2 linked regions of the Oryzias latipes genome follow. The protein of the gene in region 1 interacts with the protein of each later gene in a biochemical or structural test. Links are inferred from orthologs where the notes say so. Each region holds a gene or a part of one and is shown in the gene's direction. Other genes may lie near its edges.

Region 1 (3,926 bases):
CATAACACAGATTTTCAATTTTAGTAAATTAAGGGCTTTTTTGTTGTTACATTTTTATTTTCTACCATCCCTGCTGCTTTAGAAGAATATCAGTCAAAACGTTTATTGTCCATTTAAGATTTTTAAATTCCTGCACATCACTGACGCTCAGAATGGTTTCAGTCAGGCTGCACCTTTTGCCTGGACAGCTGTTTATCCTTCCAGGCCAAATGGCCAAAGCAGATCTTTTAACGCAGTTACTTACTGATTCTGATATTGTGCCAACAACATTAGCATGTATATCCTTAAAGTAAAAAAATGTAACTAACTAAATAAATAATAGAATAGAATAAATCTTTGACCACATAAAGGGGAAATTATCTTGTTACAACAACTATTAAAAACAGAAGATGGATAATAACACTAACTACACTTGAAAGAAATGATGAAAAATAAGAAATAACAATTTTAGTAATAACAATATTATTAAGAGCAATATTATTATTATATATGATAATAATAAAGTTGACTGCAGTGGTACTGTCTTTAATGGTACATCTACCGTACTAATATTGTGAAATTTAAAAAGGAATTTCTTCAGAAAACAATTTTGGTCATGTACTCCTTAAAATAAATTGAAACCAAGATTAAATCAAACCATGATTTTAGTTTTGATCGTTCCAAAGGGGCCACTTTTTTTATTTTATTTAAATAACTGCCTATAAAGGTGGCCAAACAGTTTTATTTTATGTGTTTATTTATGCCATAATATGCTTCTAAGGGTATACATAGTTATCTATACAGGACGAAAGTAGAATATTGACATAAATTCTAAGCATCAATATGATTTACCATTAAATTTGGCATAATTGGACAAAGTAAATAAGATTACATTATTGATATGACTTGAAAACAAAAGGAACAGATTATGATCTGATTTTCAGAATGCATAAACAGGGCTATTGGAATCAAAATGTTTTAAATCTCAATAACCTTGATAGTCATGCTTAACTCTACCCTATCTTTATTATTGTACAAACTTTTGTAGTTTTCTGTCAAAACTAATCAGGAAATAGGTCTAAAATCAGGAGCACGCGGGCGCTCTGGCTCCCTGAGACATCGACGTGTTTCCTCCGTTCAATCTTTGAACGCGCCTCGGAGCGGCACATGCGCAGTACTTGACATTTTGAAGTAGCTTCTCCGGAGTGTTTGAACAGGAAGGCGGACATGTTGGTCAGGCTGTATGAGAAATTCGGTCACAGTCTGCGATTGTATTCCGAAAAAACAACATCCAGCCAAGTTGGATCGTAGTTCTACCCCGCGGAGGAGTTCCGGCAGCCGGACGGGAACTATTCGACGGGCCTTGACAGACACCGGGGCGAAGCGGAAGGGCTGCCGTTCAACGTTCAGCGACTCCTCGTTTTAAACTGTTCGAAATTTGGAAGAAGCAGAAGTTTTTTTCTCCACCACTTCTACTTTTGAGCTGTCAGAATCATTCAGTCGTTTCCTCCAAACTAGGCCTGCGAAACATGGAAACGGGCCCGGACTAGCCAACTTTCAAACATTAAAAAAAAAAAAAAACTTTTCGGGAAGATTTTGCACGAACGTGTTATTTGTCTTTTGTTTCGATGCAGCAGCGTTTTAAGCCCTTATCCTCAGTGGCATCCTAATCTGTCGCCGCAATTATCTTTGCACGGAAGTTGTTTGCCACTCACGGACGGGAAAACATCTTCCGACTTCGACAATCATGTGGCGTGTCCAGTGCCCCGTTAACGTCTCGATTTTTTGTGGAAATTTCCGGAGGAGGATGCATTTTCTCTGAAGCGCGGTGGAAAAGTTTGCGCGAAGAAAGGGACGTTTGGCCATCTAGCTAGCGCCGCGGCTAACTGCTAGCCATTCCACCGCCTCGCCAGGGAGCTCTTTTTTTGTTTTTAACTCAACACGGGGGACTAAGTTTGGCAGGAAAATGTCCTCCGAGATAAACATGGAGGGTCGGTTTGAAAAAATCGATGCCATGTTGAAGGACCCAAAGTCGGAAATAAACACGGATTGTCTTCTGGTAAGTAAAGTCTGTGTAGCTTGTGAGCTAGCCAGCTAGCTAACAGAGCGCAGTGTGCGGTTCAGGGTCAGCCTACTCCTCAGTCGGAGCAGAGCTCTGTCTTTCTGTCTGTCTTTGAGACCAGCGGTTTGTCGGCGCTCGAACCCCCGACACTGACAGGTCGATTAAGTTCACACACTTCGTCTGCCGCCGACACACATGCGCACCAGAATACAATAAACGTTGAATGAGGAGGACATCACATTCATCTGTCTGTGTGCCTTTTAGCTGCTGTGACTCATGTTTTCTAAACCACCGGCCCTCTAAATGATGAAGCTTTTGACTCAGAGCTAAAACAGAGAATTAATGAAAAAATAGGACAAACTTGTCACTTATTTCCAGCTGTTTATGTGACAGGGATGTTGAATTGCTTAGGGATTGGCCACATTTAATAAATGACTTCACTTTTAGACAGTTAAAAACTGTAGATAGTTTTACATGCTGTTATCTTAGTATGCATTTATTAATTCTTTTCCTGTTTCTCTTTCTTTATTATAGTCTCTTCTGCCATTTTTTTCCCCGCTTAACTCCTTCTACAATTTTTCAGCTATTTTAACCATACAACTGTTAAAATGTTCAGCTCTTTCAGCTTTTTCCAGCTGTGACTTTTGCTCCTTCAAATCCCTGAACTTTTCAAGATATTCCAGGATTTCCAGGATTTTTGCCTCCATTGAAATACATGGGGAATCCTTGGTGCAGAAGCTCGCTGGTTCGATACCCGGCGCTGGCATTTTTCACAAAAATATCTGTTCTGTTATTGTGCTGTTTTCACTTTATTTATGGTCAACGTTGACCATTTCTGTATTTTATATTTTTTATGTGCCAATTATTACCCTTTAAGTTTAATTTTCATTCAGCAATAGAGCATTCAACCCTGTATTTCCTTCTGGAAATGCAGCTCCTTCTAGTTTTTATCGGTTTTATCTATATGATTAATCTGTTTCTACTCCTTAGATGTTATATATGTTTTTATCTTTGATAACCAGTGGAGTTATTTTATTTTAGTGTTGACCATCTCTGCATCTCTTAAGAAATTTGGTTTAAGTTTTGGTGAATGGATGTTCAAAAAAGGGGGTCTTTTCACCCTGGGTCTGTATCTTTCTATTGATTTGTTTCCCTATTTTTTCCATGTATGATCAAAATCCTTCGATTTCTGATTATAGTCAACACTGGAAAAAGAGCTATGGCTGCTCTATCCGTAAGCCAGAATACCTTTAGATGAGCAAATCTTTAACTCTTGTGAATGTTTTTGTACTATATGGTGTTTGGATACTTCAAAGTGTTTTTTTCCCCCTTATTATATGCATTTTTTTTCTAACCTTTAAATAGGTCGGCCTGTTTTGTAGGCTTTCTATAACCTGCAGGCATCAGGTACATTTTTGCTGTTCTACAGTCTAATAGGTGTCAACCCCTGAATTGATCTGACTGATGATAAAGAGAGTCTTGGGAACTGACTCACTGTGAAGTGAATGCCAAGGGAATGTTGTTGAGTCAAGGGTTTGTTGATAGGAGGAGTATTTCAGCTTTAGCGACAGTGACAGCGAGTGTTTTCACAGGGATTTGGCTCCCAGTTACTCATGGAAACTGTTGTGATCATATGCTCGGTGTTATTAGTGCAAATATCTTGTTGGTGATATGTTGACATTTGCTGAAATTAGCCAGGGCCTGACACGGTCACACCTGTTGTTTGTGGTTAAGTTGCAACAGATTTAATGAATTGGCTGCTCTACTTGATTTCATTTCAGTAAATATTTTAGGGTCTCCGTACTGCAGGTCTGTAATTTTTAACAAATTACAATATGGTGGTTGTGTAGGATCCATGAATTATTAGATTAAAAACAAAAGAGCA
Region 2 (4,070 bases), on another chromosome or scaffold:
ACCGTGTAGTTAAAAGTGCAACATGACATCTTCTTTTTCTTTCAGCTTTTCCCTTAAGGATTGAAACAGCAAATCAGCTTCCGCCATCTAATCCTGTCTTCTGCATCCTTTACTCCAACACCAGGTACCTTCATGTCTGTGTTCAGTGCATCCATAAAACTCCTCTTTGGTCTTCCTCTAGTCTCGTGCCCTAGACCTCTTGCCTTGCAGCTCTAGACTCAGCATCCTTCTACCAATATATTCCGACTCTCTCCCCCACATGTCCAAAAACGGGCTTGGGACTTGTACATGAGACCCTGGCTTGGGTCTCCTCACAGCTACATTATATGACATTAAAAATATGGATTTGGATGTTAAAATTCGATTTTGTGATGATAAATTCTTAAAAATCATACTAAAAATTTCAACTCAGTTGGTTAAATGCCGTACTAGCACACGGGAAATCAGGGATTGATTCTCATGGGGTTCAATGAGCTAGATCTTCTGTTGGTCCTTGAGCAAGACCTTTCAAGCTACTGCCTAACAATGTAGCCACAAGGGATTCAGGTCTGAGTCTCCATGTGCCTGTCCCCAGCCCGGATAAAATGCAGGGTTGCATCAGGAAGGGGATCCGGAGTAAAAATCTCTACCAAACTGTTTGAATTGGTGAAAGCTGATTCACTTTGGCAACCCCTGACGGGATAGTAAAGGTGAAGAACATACAGTGATAAAACAGATGAAAAATGGTCAGCAAAAACATAAAACTCTTCTATGTTCATTTTAAATATACCTAGTGTATCATTCATTTATCTTCTAATCCGTTTTGTCCCTTTTGAGGTCACAGGGCTGCTGGAGTCTATCCCGACTTGCGGGCGAGGACAGTGGACACCCCGGACAGGTCGCCAGTGTTTCGCAGGGCCACAATCACACATCCATGCAGACTCACATTCACACCTATGGACAATTTAGTGTAACCAATTAACCTATGAAGCATGTTTTTGGATGGTGGGAAGAAGCCAAAGTACCCAGGTCCCCCATTGATGTTCAGTTTCACTGAGCACCCTTACCTAGAGTATCTTTAACTGAATATATTTGATGTTAAATCTTAATCGAAACTTATTTTATTCAAAGTGTTTGTCGTAGTAAATGGAATGAAAATGTATCAAAGTGAAAACTTTTTGAAGGCCCAAAATGCAAAATTTTGTCGCTTCATTTGCAGAGCATTCTCTCGCCAGTAGATGGCGCCACCACCGTTCATTCTCAGTGTGCGAGCGCTCCTCGGCACGCTCCTGCTTCCAGGTGCTGCAGTTGAGCCCTTCCGCTCTCCGTAGAGGAATGTGGAGACTTCATTACGTCAGCGGTTGCCCCGCAGCGACAGCGGCGCAGTCTCGGAGGTGATTGTTGTCCTCCTCGGGGGTATCTTCAAACAGAAATTAGTCAGTGCGGTCTTCCTGCCGCGTCCTGAGCCTGGAGTTTGAGAGTCTAGAGCGGGCGGATGAAAGCTTGAGGCGGCACATGACAGCTCCTCCTTCCCTCATTATGAGGACTCAGTAGAAGCTGGAACACGACGACGGAGTAGATGGATGAGCTAGAAAGTAAGATTTTATGTCACGTTAACGTAAGGTTATGAATACCGTCGGGAAGCATCCTGCATGAAGCGAACGGTTGTTCGTTTTTAATATGGTCCTCGCTTTGTTTCAGCCTTTTGTCTCTTTTTTTTTTCTTTTGTCTTTGCAGGTTTCTGTGCGGGCTGTAGAGGCAAAATCCAGGACTCGTTTCACACGAAGGTCCTCCAGGAAACCTGGCACAACGCCTGCTTCCAGTGAGTGGTCTCCGGTTCTGCTTCCAAGCGTTCCTCTGTTAATGAGCACAGCTTTGTTCGAGTGGTGACCGGGAGGTTTTGGCTTTTAGAAGGATGCCTGGAAGCAGGTTTTCTCGCTTCTTCCTCGTAACGTTTGGTTTATTGTCTGCTTTGTGTCGTTTTGTGGCTTTTTCAAATTTCAGTCGAACTTATTTAATTTAAATGTCGTTTAAACACTTTCAGTCTCTGTGCCACGTGAAGCTAAAATCACCTTGAGATGTTCCAAACCTGCTCTCGCGCTGCGGACACGTGACCGCGCAATTGACAGATTGACTAATTATTAATTAACTGAGCTGGATCTGCCAGCAAATGCCCATCTTCATTCATGAATCCAAACCGTCTTTTGGAGAAAAATAAATAAATAACCACTTTTCAATTTTTTAAAATGTTGATGTCGTTTTTCTTTTATATTTTTGCTTAAAATATTTATAAGTTTCAAAAATGAAAGATTAATTTTTACTTTTATTGAACGTTTATTGCATTATCGATCGAGATATATCTTTTAAGTTAACCATAACCATGGCTTCTAAACAGGTTTGAATGAAATTGTCAACATTTGCATTATAAATATATCAAAAAATCAAAGTGCTTTTTATTTAATCTGCACACTTCTCACTGGCAATGGTAAATGTTTTTTGTGTCTAAAAAACGGGCTTGTTTCACACTAATCAAGTAGAAATTTGAAAGATCTTAAGAATTTTTCCTGTCTGTTCAAGACACTGATAAAAAAAACGACTTGTTAATATGAAGTATAGTTTCATTTTTTTTTTACATTTCTGGTTGTAGTGTTTCTTTGGATTTTTTTGTTTTTGGTCAAGAAAAACTTCTACTTTGGCTCAACGCCTGTTGAAGAACACTGACGTACACTACAAGAAAATATGCCTATTTTTATTGAATGAAACCAATAAAAATGTAGCTTAAAGACTGACTCCAATGAAAATTGTGTCATGATAAAGGACATTTAGAAAGAAAAAGATGCTTAAAATTGCTGCTCACCTGGATAAGCCTAGAGAATCAGTCAGGAGCAGACGAAAAAAAGCAGTTGGAAAAAAGCCTGTACTTGTTAAAATCTCCAATCAGCAGATCACAAACTCCCGGCTCCGCTCCATTCTGATGCATCCATTTCCAGACAAATGGATCCAAGTACGTCTTTTTTTTTCCTAGGCTGAGCTGGCATCTGGATAAAAACTTTACAGCTGGATAGCTCCAATGTTGCTCGCTGTTTTTGTTGCACTGGTAATATTAGATTGGGGCTGTAAGCTAACGGGAGATGATGGTAAATGAAGGCAGGCTCACTCCATGCCAACGGCTCCTTCCCTTCAATTTCTGGAGAAACTATGTTCTAGTAAACAGGTTTTTTGATTTTGACTACAAATGTTAATGTTTTTAGAGGGGGAACTGACAAAACATGACCTTAAACGAGTTGATAAAACAAAAGAAAAATAAGTGTAATCGTTGGTGAATAAACTGTGTAAAAAAAAAATTTGTAAATGCTTAGCTAAATATGAAGTGGACATAAATGACTGGGATTAAACCTTTTCATTGTGTAGAAGCTAAAAACATATATCTTCCTGAGCTTTAAGCCATCGTCTTTATCCTTTTCCATTAATTTCCTGACATTTTCTTTATTCTCCTCTGCAGAGGTTTTCATTTAAAGCCTAATGGAAATGAGATGTTTGTCTTCCTCAGGTTTGACTCCAAAGTTTACAGATAATGGCCGGTGCGATAAACAGACTCTTATCTAGAAGCACACTCTCTGCACAACTATAATCCCTCAAACAACCCGCCTAAAACGTGTTCTAACTGCTCTCATACCCTTTTGTGTTCCTGCTCCTCATTGTCCACATGCTGCCACTCTACCCTGTGTACCTCTACCTTGTGTAACATTCTTGGGAGTTGAGCTCACTCCTGTTCCAATAAACCTGGTGGTGCTGCCCTGAGCCATAGGTAACACCACACTCAACTTCACTGTTTTCTGCATTCCTAGACGCCGATTCATATCACCCAATCTCTGTCTCAGACACTTTTGGCACAAAAGTCCAGGCTTTGTTTTTTGTTTTTTAACAATGGGGCTTCTTCCTTTTTCTTATCAGCCTGCTTTGTGCTTAATTATCCTCCCATGAGTGAGAAAATTGAAGTGGAAGTTGTTGTTTTTTACTTTTTTAACTTAAATCTTGGTTTTTAACCTAAATTTTCGGCTCAAGGAAAGTTTGTTTTTTCTAGACTTTTA

The links.
Region 2: of the proteins of rock1 (region 1) and limk2, one has a biochemical effect on the other in vitro, tested with the Homo sapiens proteins (2 studies listed by BioGRID). The link is inferred for Oryzias latipes from reciprocal best matches to the Homo sapiens genes ROCK1 and LIMK2.

The regions. Positions count from the first base shown.
Region 1 is NC_019875.2:28,418,944-28,422,869, reverse strand, and holds the start of rock1 (rho-associated protein kinase 1), read left to right. Parts: upstream 1-1,126; 5' UTR 1,127-1,945; coding exon 1,946-2,038; intron 2,039-3,926. UniProt on the Homo sapiens protein: Protein kinase which is a key regulator of the actin cytoskeleton and cell polarity.
Region 2 is NC_019876.2:4,300,570-4,304,639, forward strand, and holds the start of limk2 (LIM domain kinase 2), read left to right. Parts: upstream 1-1,270; 5' UTR 1,271-1,558; coding exon 1,559-1,574; intron 1,575-1,716; coding exon 1,717-1,801; intron 1,802-4,070. UniProt on the Homo sapiens protein: Serine/threonine-protein kinase that plays an essential role in the regulation of actin filament dynamics. Acts downstream of several Rho family GTPase signal transduction pathways.